Coturnix japonica: one gene and its partners. The protein of the gene in region 1 interacts with the protein of each later gene in a pairwise test. Links are inferred from orthologs where the notes say so. Each region holds a gene or a part of one and is shown on either strand. Other genes may lie near its edges.

What was found.
Region 2: the proteins of YWHAZ (region 1) and ITPRID2 interact in a two-hybrid assay, tested with the Homo sapiens proteins (2 studies listed by BioGRID and IntAct). The link is inferred for Coturnix japonica from reciprocal best matches to the Homo sapiens genes YWHAZ and ITPRID2.
Region 3: the proteins of YWHAZ (region 1) and YAP1 interact in binary tests that used the Homo sapiens proteins (3 or more experiments, as listed by UniProt). The link is inferred for Coturnix japonica from reciprocal best matches to the Homo sapiens genes YWHAZ and YAP1.
Region 4: the proteins of YWHAZ (region 1) and TNFAIP3 interact in a two-hybrid assay, tested with the Homo sapiens proteins (4 studies listed by BioGRID and IntAct). The link is inferred for Coturnix japonica from reciprocal best matches to the Homo sapiens genes YWHAZ and TNFAIP3.

The regions. Positions count from the first base shown.
Region 1 is NC_029517.1:116,478,782-116,482,281, forward strand, and holds part of YWHAZ (14-3-3 protein zeta/delta), read right to left. Parts: intron 984-3,500; coding exon 860-983; intron 1-859.
Region 2 is NC_029522.1:12,466,704-12,470,203, forward strand, and holds part of ITPRID2 (protein ITPRID2), read right to left. Parts: intron 3,275-3,500; exon of another isoform or gene 3,205-3,274; coding exon 1,948-3,204; intron 1-1,947.
Region 3 is NC_029516.1:163,400,871-163,404,370, forward strand, and holds part of YAP1 (transcriptional coactivator YAP1), read right to left. Parts: intron 2,434-3,500; coding exon 2,321-2,433; intron 1,674-2,320; coding exon 1,435-1,673; 3' UTR 1-1,434. UniProt on the Homo sapiens protein: Transcriptional regulator with dual roles as a coactivator and corepressor. Critical downstream regulatory target in the Hippo signaling pathway, crucial for organ size control and tumor suppression by restricting proliferation and promoting apoptosis.
Region 4 is NC_029518.1:49,364,165-49,367,664, reverse strand, and holds part of TNFAIP3 (tumor necrosis factor alpha-induced protein 3), read left to right. Parts: intron 1-573; coding exon 574-1,487; intron 1,488-2,817; coding exon 2,818-3,050; intron 3,051-3,500. UniProt on the Homo sapiens protein: Ubiquitin-editing enzyme that contains both ubiquitin ligase and deubiquitinase activities.

The sequences.
Region 1 (3,500 bases):
TACAGTCAGTAACTATCCTTATGAGAGTGTACCTTCTAGTTTGTAAATGAGAGATTACTGAACAAAAATACATCTGCTATGGTACACAGTAACACATTTATTTATTACACATGTGGTTCTGCAGTCACCAAGACTAGGTCAGCTTGCATGCAGCAAACACTAGAAGTCAAATCAAACACTGTTTATTAAGTCTTATCTTACTCGTCTTCATTACTATCCAGCAGACTGTGGAGACTGGCTCCAGGAAACAGCTTGGAGTTTGCTGTGAACAGTGCTATCTAAATGTAATAGATTCTCCTGAACTGAAGATGACTGCACAAAGACAAGGTGTTATTTAGGTGCCTCTTCAATACACTAGGTGGCTTAATGGCTGCAGTTAAGTACATTATTTTAACTTTACTTACCAAACACGAGTAAAGGCAACTTACCTGCTATGAGGACAAGCTACATGAGAAATTTAGGAAATAAAAACCATTTAGAAATCAAACTACCGTGGTTATGGAAAAAAATTACTGAACATCTGTTTCATTAATCCTTTCCTTCCCCAGGTGTATTCTAGTCTCCCTGCTCACTAAACTTATACAGACGTTCTTATGTGCTGCAGAAACGCAGGAGAACTAGCACTAAAGCACTTCAGAAAGCTACAGTGACTCCCTACGAAGAGGTAAAAACAGTACTCAGAGAGCCAGGAAAAAAAGCATTAACTGGTATGTCAGCGATAAGGCACATTCTTGTATGCATACACTGGATCTGATTTCAAGATTCTGTGACTGCAGAATCTGAAAAAGAAGTATTCCAAAAGTTACTGTAGCGTTGCTGTCCACTAAACTGACCAAAGATTTAGCGACAATTGACATACCTTTCTTGTCATCTCCAGCAGCAACCTCAGCCAAGTAACGGTAATAATCACCTTTCATTTTCAAATAGAAAACTTTGCTTTCTGCTTGCGAAGCATTAGGGATCAAGAACTTTTCCAACAGAGACTAAAAGAGAAGCAAAGAACAGCGTTTTGAACATGCATACTTTCATAGCTTTTGAACCAACAGTTTGATTATGCTACCATCTATTTCAAAGTCAAGACAAAAATAGGCAGAAGTAAAGCTGTCACATCCTACATAGCGTATTCGGCTAAGGAAAAAATGTGTTCTGGATCATAATTCTGGGTACTAAAAGGAACGATCCATGCTGTGACTCTATAGGGAGAACAGGAAAGAAGTCTGTTCATTTAGCAGATGAATGCTGAAGGGCCAGAGGAACGGTTTGTGTAGGCCCTGACAAAAATAATGTCATCCAAAGAGTCTGGGCAGAGCGTACACAATGGAATGAAGTCAGCATCCACAGATGATAAAAGGACTCAAAATATCAGCTGCCAAATCAGAGACCCAAATACCTTACATACACAGGCAATGGGAACTAGGCCAGGCTAATGAGGTTGTGGGTTTTTTTAATTAGTGTTAAGTGGAACTCTACATTTGGATCACCAAAGAGAAACTGCACAGTGAATCTGGATTCCTGCCTTTCTAGACAGTTGAATCAACAGCTGCTCAGCTGTGTGACTACATGCTGCCCATCCCTTCCAAAGCAACGGCAGCTCTCTGGAGTCACCCCACCAAATCCCCCCATATGAGCTGCCAGTTAAGACCAGGTATTTTTCTTTTCTAGATTGTTCTAACTGCTTATTAAATCAGCAATGCAAGTTACCAGCTGAAGCAGTCATGTAATTTAGCAGGAGTTCTATTATGATGAAAAGAAGAAAAAAAAAAAAAAAAAATCACTAGCTCCAACACATTTAGTCAAATTAAGGCACAAGCCTGTCAAACTTCTTGATAGTGAGTTCTTGAAGTCAGACTTTGAAAGAAAAGCCAGTTATTTAAAAACCAGAATAAGTGCAGAAGTGCTGTTGAGTACTCAAAATGAAATTAGAAACTGTTACATAAACTTTGCTAAGGCTATGTAACAATTTAATGTTTTATTTTTCTCTAAGAATTTTTGGATGTCTTCCCCCTCACCCCCCACTTCCAATTAGATGAATGACATTTCAGTTTCGCTGTTTTCAGCTCATCTTTCCAATGACACCACAGAAACGCGTGATGTAATGCAGGTCAAGCCCACAGAATTATGGCCACCTTACAGTGCTTCCTTGCAGATAGCAACCTCTGTGTTAACTGCATGTCTCCTGTATTCCTATTCACAACAGGAATACGGCACCACTGTGTCCCAATGGCACCTGTGGCACGGCTTTGGCCAATAAGCCAGCTGACATCAAGCTACAGAAAACTCAGTCAGAGACAGGAAGAAAAAGAGTGAACAAGTTTAAATATTGCTAATTTATTTATACAGATCATGAATATTTAGTCTAGTAGACTCAAACTTGTGAAAACTGTCAAAGTGAAGTGACCTATTGTAGTAGATCTCTGTCAGCAGACAGGGTAATGAAGAAGTTAGGCTGCCAGAAACAGGAGTTAGACAAGGTTCAGCCACACTTACGCTCCAGTTAGATTAAAATAACCCATACTAAGTGGGCTTCATTTGTTTCAACATAACGGGGGAAAGAGACATCTTTACTAATTGCTATTTCCTGCATGGCCAGGGCTGGCCTATAATCTCACTTTATAACAATGCAAGGATACATCAAGAAATACCACGCTCTTGCTTCCTGTTGGAGTGACAGCAGAGATGATCCTTTGGTAGCAAAGGGAACGTAACACAATCAAGGCAGCAGCAGCACAGTCACACAGCCAAACAGGCTGCCCAGCTGCCAGAGGCATCATTCTGGAAGGCACAAGCTATACCAGGAGGGCTTGGTGCCACTGCTGCCACAGCACTACTGGCACAAGCAGAGGGCTGCCAAGTACACAAGGCACACATTGGCCCTCTGTAACTACTTACAGCTCTGCTCTTACCCTTATGGAACTCCAGCATTCACAGCTATGATACTTATCGTCCTTGCCAAGACGGTGACTTCAGTGACAACTGAAGGGTTTTTTTACTACTGAGAGTAAGTCTTTTATAATTAGGCTGTCTCTGTAGGACTGCAATTAAGGCAGTTGCAGACTGCACCCACCACCCTCCCAGCACTGTGGGGAGCTGCCCTCCTTCCGTACACTCCATTAATTGGCCTGATCAAGGTATTTGCACTGATCAAGAAACAAATTCTCCATTTCTAAAGGAAGCTGACTGAAGAGAACAGCTCTGCCCAGTCCCACTGCAGCAACCAGCTTTCCAGACCTGAACTTCACTTAAGTCTCAAGTGAGTTAACCATACAAGTAGACATGGAGGAGAAAAAGCTATCAGTTAAGTCTTAATCATCAGATAGATGCTAGCAGGGCAATAGCTGCTTGGAGAATAAGAATCCTAGCAAAAAGTGTTCTAAGCCAACATTGAAGACTGCTGAGCTAGGAAAAACCCATTGAACAGTTGTTCATTCACACAGCATAACCTATGTCAAGTTTAACTCCTGGACTGCACATGCAGCCCATTCTTATCTGGATGAAGGAAG
Region 2 (3,500 bases), on another chromosome or scaffold:
TTCCTATAGGAAGCTGAGTACACTGAGTTACAAATTCAATTTTGGCTGTAGAGAAAAACACTACAAGGAAACTACGTGTTGAAAACAACAGTTTTTCACAGAAATCTCAGGAACAAGAAGGAACACATCCCCCAAAATGGGACTGGTCTAGACAAATCACTCTGGAAGCAGGACAAGTGGACAGGGAGCTTATTATCCCCTCTAATACTAGTGCAACTTTATTTTTATTGAGTCAGCACAAACGAGAGATCTGAATGTAATACAAAGTTCTCTTTTTCAGTAGATTCAGCTAGCATTCTGCAAGAGTATCCTTACACACAGCAAGACTGCAGTTTATACACACAAGTGAATTTTACAAAGAAAGTTAAATTCTGCAACTGCTCACACCCACACATGCTTTTGGCTACCTTGAGCAGGGCCAGCTCAGAAAACCCAAGTCAGGCACAACTAGCCTCAGGTTTTGGACAATGGACAACAAAAACAGAAGAACAGGGTGCCTAAAAAAGCTCACTAAAGCTCACCACCAGCAACAGGGTGCAGAAAATCAGATGTTTGTTTTCGATTAAACACCTCACAGAAGACAATGAGGTTCCACAACTGCATAATTTTCATGCATTCACATATTAACAGGCAGGGTCTGCAAATGCCCTGCCCATAGAACCACTCCGCAGGCTCCTAAGTTGGATCACTACCTCAGACAATAGCAGTACAGTAATGGTGGAGTAGAGACAGTTGCTAATGAAAACAGCAGAAGACATCAGAGAAGCCAGCAAAAATACATATACAAGGGCTGTTCTGAAAGTAATGCTTCCTATTTTATTATGCTGGCCCATGATATCAGAGGCAGCTGATATCATAGCTGTTGGTAATAAAGCAGTAGAGCTTGAACCTTCCCACCAGTATTACACTACATTTTGTAGCCATGAAACAGATGGCAGTAGAGGAGCAGTCTGACAAAACATTGTCTGACATGGAAGTGTGTATGAAGCAAAGATGTGCCTCTGAATTCATCCAGGTGGAAAAAATTTCACCCAAGGACATTCATCAACACCTGCTGAACATTTATAGAGACCAAACAATGAATACTGGCACAGTGAGGCTGTGGGTGGTGCTTTTCATCAGTGGCGACAGTAATGTGAAAGACAAGCTGCATTCTGGACAGCCATGCAGATTTTTATGAGCACAGCATGCAAGTTCTTGTTCACCACTGCTGAAAATGCATAGCTAACAGTGGTGAATATATCATGAAAGTGTTTTCCAGCTGATTTTTTTTCTACCTGATAGTATTATTGTGTTCTTTTTATCTGTTGCAGTTTCCGTGAAGAAAATAGGAGGCGTTACTTTTGGAGCAGATCATGTACATCTATATGCTTGCATTCTAAAACATTTCTTCTCTGACTATTGAGAAGATTCACACATTCACCAAAATTTCACACACTGTGACACAATTGATTCTTAATAAAAGGCTGATAACTTCAAGATTATTTTAGTAGCTCCAGAGCTGAACATGCACAACACTAGCATAAAACAGCACAGAAATGTTAAGTTGAATGAATGATCATCACTAAAATCATTAGTGAAGATTAAAGGCAAGATATATTTTCATATCTAAAGCTAATAAATATCACTTTAAAATAACTGCTTATGAGGCATACGTTGCTCCTCCCTCACACCTAAGAATAACCATAAGTTTAATAAAAATAAAAAAAATCAGTTTACTAATGATCTGGATCAAGAGCAACATGAACAACTTCAACACAAAAATAGTGGTGCACTGGAGAGATGACCACCTGCCAATTTAAACAGAAGCTCCTGAAAGTAGTAGCAAACAAACAGGAACAATGTGTTGTTTTTTCCCCCTGATTTTTTACACTACATGAAAGAATATTCAGGTTAACATTTTATTTTTAAAAAAATAAAATAAGAAGCACATTTGATTTCTCCTACCTGTGAGAGGTTCTGCAGAGAGCTTCTGATGTCATGCAGGACTCTGCGAAGCTGCATTTCTACAGTGGAAGGTGGGTTGATGGCATGAGGTCGATGAGGATATCCAGAGTGCCTTGGAGAAAAGGGACAGCTGAAGGGCGAGAGCAAAGCGCTGAGGGAAGAACCAGAGATGCTTGGGACACTGTGGGTGCTGAGCGTCCTCATGTGCTCACAGAGTGGCCTGTCCAACCACTCATTTGGGAGGGAGTGCAGGGAGCATGTTGACTGGGACATATGTGCTGGGGTGTGTAGTGGGCAGCTCTGTCCCCTGGTGGGACTAGGCACCTCGGACAGTCTCCTGAGCCCAGTCTGGGGCACTTCTCTTTTAGAGGATGAAGTTGCAATGAATAGTGTTGATTTGCATACAGGCTGACTGGTAGCTGCCTTATCTTCCTGTTTGTCATCCTCAGAAGTCAGTTTTTCATCTTCCTCCACGTGTGTGTACTTGTAGGTGAAAGAAGGAGGACCACACAGAGTCTCCTTCCCTGGATTTAACTGGACATTCACAGAGGACACCACTTTCACTGGATTTAGTAATGCAGTTGGGAGCGACTGAGATCGCCTTAGAGGATAACCTGATTCAGCCAACCACTGTCTTTGTTTCCTCAGGAGATCTTTTGACTTAAAGAAAGAGCGCCCAGCCCTTGAGTCAGATGTGCTGATGACCCTCATCTGGGCTCTCTGCAAAGCAACATGAACCCTGTCTAAGGACGATGGGGTAGAGCCGTCACCTTCCAGAGACTCCAGAGACTTAAGGATATGGTGTGTTTGGTACTGAGGAAACTCAAATGCAGTGTCGTTGTCAAGATCGCTTTCATCAACGCCTTCCTCCAGAAGCCCCAGTTCTTTCTGCTCACTGGAAATGCCTTCATCTTTAGAGCTGCCTTCTCCTCCAGCTATCTTAGGTACGTGAGATGACTTACTTTCTCCTCCATTATTTTGTTCAGCTTCATAGTCACAATTTCTTTTATCATCTATCCTTAGGTTTTCAGAATACACCTCCACCTTTCCTTTCTCCACTTGAGAGATATCATCCTCTTCATCATCCTCTTCCTCACCCTCCTCCTCTTCTTCCTCCTCTTCTTCCTCCTCAAACTTATTGAAACACGGCCGTTCCTTAGCTATTGGTGTCTTCTGTTCTTCACTATGTGATGTCACAGTTGTCTCACTGTCACAGCTGTCAGCACTGCTTCCCATGCCTTGCAAAGACTCCTGAACCTAGGGAAGATTCAAGACAGCAAATGAGTGAACATACTGGAGACTCAGCTACCACTTTCTCAGGACTCAGGTTAACAGCCTAAGCTCATATTCATTTGGCATTATGATTATTTGGTGAAATAATCCAAAATGTAATTAGTATGCAGGCAAAAATGAAAGAGAATAAAGAAACCATAGTTTCAGAGAAGCATTCTGAAGTACAGCACCCAAAAGGAGATGGTTTGCAGGGAAAAGAAAAAGTAGCCAAACCATTCACACTCTTTTTTTTTATTTGATAATAAATATTACTGCCAAAA
Region 3 (3,500 bases), on another chromosome or scaffold:
AAGGTAACTCATATTCACCTCTACCCAATGCTAAGCTCTACTGCTAATATACACTTCATTACTTGCTCACGTCACCATCTAACACGTATCTTTACAGACTTCTACGTCGTGCCCAGGGCTTATTTTTCACCAAACGGAATTTGACAACTATTACACTTCGGAGTTTTTACTGAGGATTCTTGTGTTATTTTTTTTGGTCTTCTAGCCTTTTCATTGCAGCTTACAGTGATGTTCATAGTTCAGACCATTTTCCCACACTAACTCAGGAGAAAATCTTCAGAAGGTTTTTTCCCCTTAAAGAATCTAAACTCATTCAGATACAAAACTGAAAACCAGAGGTGAGCTTGGACGCATCTCGGTCACTGTAAAATTGTTTCTGCTACTTCAAAATGCGTTTTAAAATCGTAAATAGCGCACTTAGCTTCTAATTCAATATCTTGCAAAGAAACATGAAAAATAAGCCACTGGTCATGGATCCTAAGGATTACATTCAAAGCTAGCCTTTAAAAAAAATAGAAAAGTTACGGGCAAAACATACTGTTTTATGTACTCACTAGCTTATTGCGCTACAATAGGCATGGTTTAGGTATAAAAAAAAAAGCAGACAATTCAGATTTAAATAAGACTATGTGAAATCAGAAAAAAAAAAAAACCCTTAGATTTCACTATTTAAAAAAAGAACACCTAGAATTACTTCCCATCCTATAGCTACAGTTAAATCAACTAACAAAAATAATCAAACTATTTTTGACAAACAAGAGTTAGGCTAGAATAAGTGGCAACAATCAAAGTTCATATATGTTTCTATGTAAAAGGACTCATGATTTACTATAACATAAAATATGAACAAGAGCACTTCATGGCTAATGAAGGAGCTACTAGTGGAAACACCTAATGCCAGTTTTCAGCCCTCCTTTAGGTCGTATCTCCAAATCAGTATTGACTTCATTTGACCAGATACATCATTTTCGGCTTGTCACTCCAGTATGTCACGTTTTACCACTTTCCACAGGCAGCAGGAGACAACTAGCTGAGCAAACTACAAGCAGTGACATGCAGAAATTTACTCTCAAATCTGAGTACTTAGATAAAAATGATATGCAAGCGCACACTAGGACAAAAGGAATGGCATTCGTCATTCAAATAGGCTCATCGTTCCCTCCCCCACCCCCCAACAGTAGTTGCAACAGCAATAGAAAAAGGTCAAGAAGATGTCTGTTCTTCAGAGTCAACTGTGGAAAAAAGTCAGCAATATATAACAGCAGCGATGGACAAGGAAGAGCAAAACGAAAGAATCTTGCTGAATATTTGTTCATTTACTTTTTCTGAACACAAGCCAAAGTGTGCCACACTGGCTTGCTCTGAACTTCAGATACAGATGTCCTATTCTCCTTAGATCCTTCACAGATTTAGAATTCAGTCTCCCTGAGGCCCCTATAACCAAGTAAGAAAACTCTCTTTATCTAGCTTGGTGGCTGCCAAGACAGATTCCATGTCATTTAAGATGTCAGAGCTCAAAGCCTCTTGCAGACTTGGCATCAGTTCTTCTCCTTCTATATTCATCCCATCTCCTTCCAGTGTCCCAAGGTCCACATTTGTCCCTGGAATGGCTTCAAGGTAGTCTGGGAATCGGTTCTGATGGGACGGTATGTTACTTTGGCTGATACTGTCACCTAGTTATAACAAAAAGCAAGATGGATGTTCAATTTACTGGAAGTACCAAACCCACAATTAATCACAACTGGTTAAAGGTTAATCCTGGATCCTTTGCATCACTCAAAAACTGTGATTCATAGAAATTCATCACAAAAACTAAAGATGACTTGGCTACATGCAGATGTACGAAGAACTTGCCTTTGTTTCAAACTTTTCATGTCTTAACCTGAATCTTTACAGATCTTTGATCTTTTAGCATGTTTTAGTTTTTATGCATAAAAGACAATAACAAGTCAAATATAATTTGGGAGCAACATTAGCAATACTGATTAAGCATACTTATATAATAATAGTATAGTAATACTGAGTAAGTTCTTAGCTTAGAACTTTTGCTTTCTTAAGAAAGCAAATGGGTATTCAAATTCCATATAGCTGCAGGAATTATTCCCTTTATGAGCCTTCCAGTAGAATTTATTACAAGGATGTTTTTCACAAATTTAACTATAATAGTTCTGCAATAGAAATAGAAGGAGGTAGTACAAACATAACCCCCCCCCCCCCCCCAAAAAACATTGGAGCTTTTCAGAATCACTTGTTTTCACTGCAAAGGGGCTGAGCATTTGATACCAGCACGACTGAAAAGGGTGTATTAAGGAGAACAAACCTGTATCCATCTCATCAACACTGTTCAGGAAGTCATCGGGGGTTCTGGGTACACTGTAACTGCTCATGCTAAGTCCGCTATCTGTGCTTTCATCTCTGGAGTGATATGTTCCACTGTAACAGAAAAAATGCAACAAAAATGAGGGTAGAGCATCGGAGAAACTAAAATAGTTGCACACCCCAGTGCAGGGGTTTTGATAACGTGGCTGTCACAAGAAATGCTCCGTTCTAATTAAAAGCTGAAGTCTGTGTGAGACACCAGTTTTTCATTTTACACTGACCTTTCCCAATGAAAACCACAGCACTGAGGTTCAATTTAACTCAGTAAGAACATACCTAAGCAGCTTTAAGAAACAGCCTATCGATGTTCCACACTGTTTTAAACTTTTCACACCCACCCACAGCTAAAAACCATTCGAAGCATATCACAGTCCTTAACCATTACAGAGCTAATAATGGTGTACATTTCACACTTCAGTAAGGATTAGGAGCATTCTAACTACTAATGTCCCCTTGTTTAATCAGCCACCAAAGTGCATTTTTAGGTCAGTGCTGTTATAAATAGGAGCTACAGTTGGAACTCTTTTAGCAATTCTTCAGTTGCTTCCCGCTGTTGCATTACTACCAGTTCAGTCGTACATGTCATGGCAAGAGGGCCCTGATATAAATCAAATCCTGTACAGAAGCCATTCTGTAAACAAATCCTGTTCAGAATGATCTTGCTGACAGAACAGTTAGCAAGATGGCACAGGGCCTTACGTATATTAGTTTTCTCGCTGCCATCTTACTACCAGTGGAGCAGACAAGACCAAGGGAGCTGCAATGGAAATTTGGGATGGGACTGGGAAGAACAGGCCAATCAGATGACCTACAATCAGCTGGGGGGATCCAGTTTACAGTTGACTTTCTTATAAGTCACATAAACTATTTCTTTGAAAGTAGAACAATAAGAAACGTTTATATACAACAGTGAAAATCATTATCCTGACTGGAATAATTATTTCCAGAAGCTGGAAGGAGCTGCTACTTGTTATACTTAGGCATACATCTGAAAATATTTTGCTGTAATAGCTGAAAGGATGCAAACAGCCCCACCAGTCAAAACGGTCACAAGCGGAAGCAGCTGTAGAACTACACCATTACCTCCCTCCTCTTCTGTCTACTAACAGCCAAGCTTCAAC
Region 4 (3,500 bases), on another chromosome or scaffold:
AGTTTATCACGAAGTACTGTGTCTAGAGTATGAAAGGTTTGTTTTTAGCATGGGCTGGTGAAGAAGGAGATCTGACACTCTAGTTTCAACTACTGAGCACAGGTCTTCAGACAAATTTAGAATTTAGGGGATTTTCTTTTTATTTCTGAAAGGTTATCCGATTATTCCTCCCGCAAACAGCTTTCAGAGACAGAAAAACCTCACCTTGAAAATCCTTTCAAGAATACTTCCGTTTAGTACCGTGCGAGTCCATTTCTTTAGATGTGAAAGTCTCTATTTGACATCACTGAACACCTGCTTCTAAAATTATTTCCATTTACAGCAACAGTTTAACATCCTAGATCTTCTAGCTGAGTAATATGGATGTGTATTAAATGTACATTTCCTCCCCATGTGGCTTATATTTGCCTCCTCCCCTTCCATCTGCCCTTTTCAACCATATATATATATTGTGTGTGTGTATGTATGTATATATGTGTGTGTATATATGTGTGTGTGTATGTATATATATATTATTATTATATATTATATATATTATATATACATGTATATTATTTTTTTAATGTCTGTTAGGTTGGATGAAGGCAATCTGCCCAAAGAAATAAATCTTGTGGAAGATTACTTTCAACTGGTGCAGCACGAGTACAAGAAATGGCAGGAGCACGCTGAACCTGCCAGAAAAGAGGCCTGCTCCAGGAACAGACAGGAACTGTCTTTTTCCCAGCTCTCCCTCTTACAGGTGAAATGTGAAACTCCAAACTGCCCTTTCTATATGTCTGTGAACACCCAGCCCTACTGCCATGAGTGCTTTGAGCGGAGGTCGCAGGGAATCAAAGGAAGAAAGCAGGTCTCCGAAGCAGCACCTGAGAAACTGAAGGCAGCTGGGTCCAGTGGTAAAGCTTGTGAACCTGGGGGATGGATGTCTGAGGAGGCTGTAACAGGGCCTCACTCTGCACCCCCAACTGCTCCCAGCCTTTTCCTCTATAGTGAAACCACTGCCATGAAATGCCGGACTCCAGACTGCCCCTTCACCTTAAATGTGCAACACAACGGACTTTGTGAACGCTGCTACAATGCCAGACAGCTTGCTGCTAGTAACAATTTGGACAACCAGAGGCGTTTGGACTATGCCACGTGTAAGGTGTGCCACCAGAAGGCCAACAGGACATTTAATGGCATATGCAGCACTTGTTTCAAAAGGACTACAGAGCGCTCTTCAAATGGCAGCCCTGGTTTTGTACCCGCGTGCCATCAGAGATCTACATCTGACCCATCCCAGATCCCACAGAGCCTCCTTCAGCATTCCTGCCAGCAAACTCCCAACAGCAACTGCAACGAGCCACTCTTGGCCGCGCTGCCTCATGCCCCACGTGCTTTGGAGGAGAAGGGAAGTAAGCTCTGCAGGAAACCTGGCTGCAAGTTTTTTGGAACAGCACAGAATGAGGGCTTTTGCACGCTGTGCTTCTTTGAATACAGGGAAAACCACGGTAAGTGAAGATGTGAGCTTTGTTAGATGTGCAGATGGTGAAACTGAAGTTTTGCGTGTGCTGTGCTCTGAAAGATCAAGAGGTGACAAACACTGTGTAGCAGAAGCAGCAGTATGAGGAAAATGTGCTTTATTGGCTGTTGCTATCCCAAATGAGAGGCATGCAATAACAGTGTGGGATATATGAAATCTTGTAAAACTTCCCATTGCCTTCCATGAAAGAAAAACTTCAATCAAGCATCATTTTTGATGCCTTCCAACCCTACACTGTAGTAATGTTTTGGTATAAATCTTCTCAGGTTAAACTTCATCATAGCTAGACCAGTTCTAGGAACTGGTGAGGGAAGTGATGTTGTATTGATGTTAGTGAAAACCAGTTGTGTTTGGAAGGCTTTCTAAAAACTTGGCATGAATTTGAAGATCTGTATCCGTTCTGGGTTTAACAGATATAACACTGGAGTAATGACTGAAATCTCAATAAACAGAGCAAGGAGAATTTGTCTGTGGTTAATATGCAAATATAATGTGTAGACAATACAAAATAAGTATTTGATAGTAACATAGGAATATATGGTTATAATGTACCTTGAAATGTTTCTTGATACTCTATGCATAAGCTTAAAATTAAGTCCTAAAATAGTCTGTAAATTAATCATGTTGGGAAATCATCAGCTTCCATGCTGCTGCTGTTTCACAGGCAACTGCCTTTGGATACAGAGGGTGGGATGCACATGTGAGAGGAAAATAATACTTATCTCAAGACAGTTCCGTTGCTGACAAGCAGATCAGTGCTACATTTTCCATGTACTTTTACATCAAGGGCCTATTATGCTAGCTTACAAAAGCTTATTTTTGAGTGTTGTTCACATAGAAAACTGTTATGATTGTGGAATATATGATTGCCTCATTAAATTAAGAGGTTTAGGGTGCATTAACCTATTAAGCTCTGTACTACTATATTTCCACTACCCCATGTGATTGAAATGAAGGAGGACAGAAGGGAAGAGTTGGGATGTATTGCAGGTGCCATTCTAAAACCGATGGTGATTTTCCTCGTCTTTATTGAGATCCAGTTTCCATGCTGTGAGCAGGTTCTTCTCGAATCAGCTGTTTGATGTAAAGCTTAGTCTCTATTAGCCCTTTGTTTATGTAAGCTGAAGGAATGTGCTCTGACTGAGTGGTATCGGAGTTGTCAAAATGCAGTGTTTGAGACTAGCAGATTTTTGGTTTTTTTTTTTTCTTTGCCAATTGAGGAACTTTTGTAATCACTTTGGGCCATAACATCTTTTGGGCTCATTCACACATTTCCTCATCCTTTCTTTGCATTACAGACAGTGCTTCACTACGCCACCAGAGGAGATCTCAGAGGAATTCCTCAGCAGCTGGTCAACAGGGGAGCTCAGCTGCTGCATTCCACAATACCATGTCTTGCCAGCAGCAGAACTGTGGCACCCTGGGTAGTACCATGCTGGAAGGCTACTGCCAGAACTGTTTCATTAAAGCCCAGAGCCAGCGATTTCAGGAAGCCAGGAGGACTGAAGAACAGCTAGTGAGACAGCCTGAAGTAAGTATGAACTCTGAAAACCTTCCTCTTGTTTAGCATGTTTTTCCCTTGTGAGAGTGACTCAGAGAGTGTAATAGGATGCAGCAACATGAGAATTTCTAAGTGTCATGGGAAGACTAGTGTAAGGTATCTCATGATTTCCACTTGCTACAACTGAGCAGTACTTCTAATGCACATCCTCAATTTAGTATTTTCGTGGCTGTTGGTTCTATTTTACCTACCTAGAATTTGCCCTGCAGTTTCAGTGAACCCATGGCTGACTTTGTTTGCTGGCTGTACAGGGGTTTTCATTCATCCCTTTAGAGCTATGTAACTTCATCAAGAGATTTACTCTGCTTTGTCTTGCTTTTTTCGTTGAGCACATCACAGATTTTCTGTTCCAGGCTATTTCACTTGGTCTGTTTTGGTTTTAGAATTGAGAATTACCAAAGATACAAAACCTATTTTTCT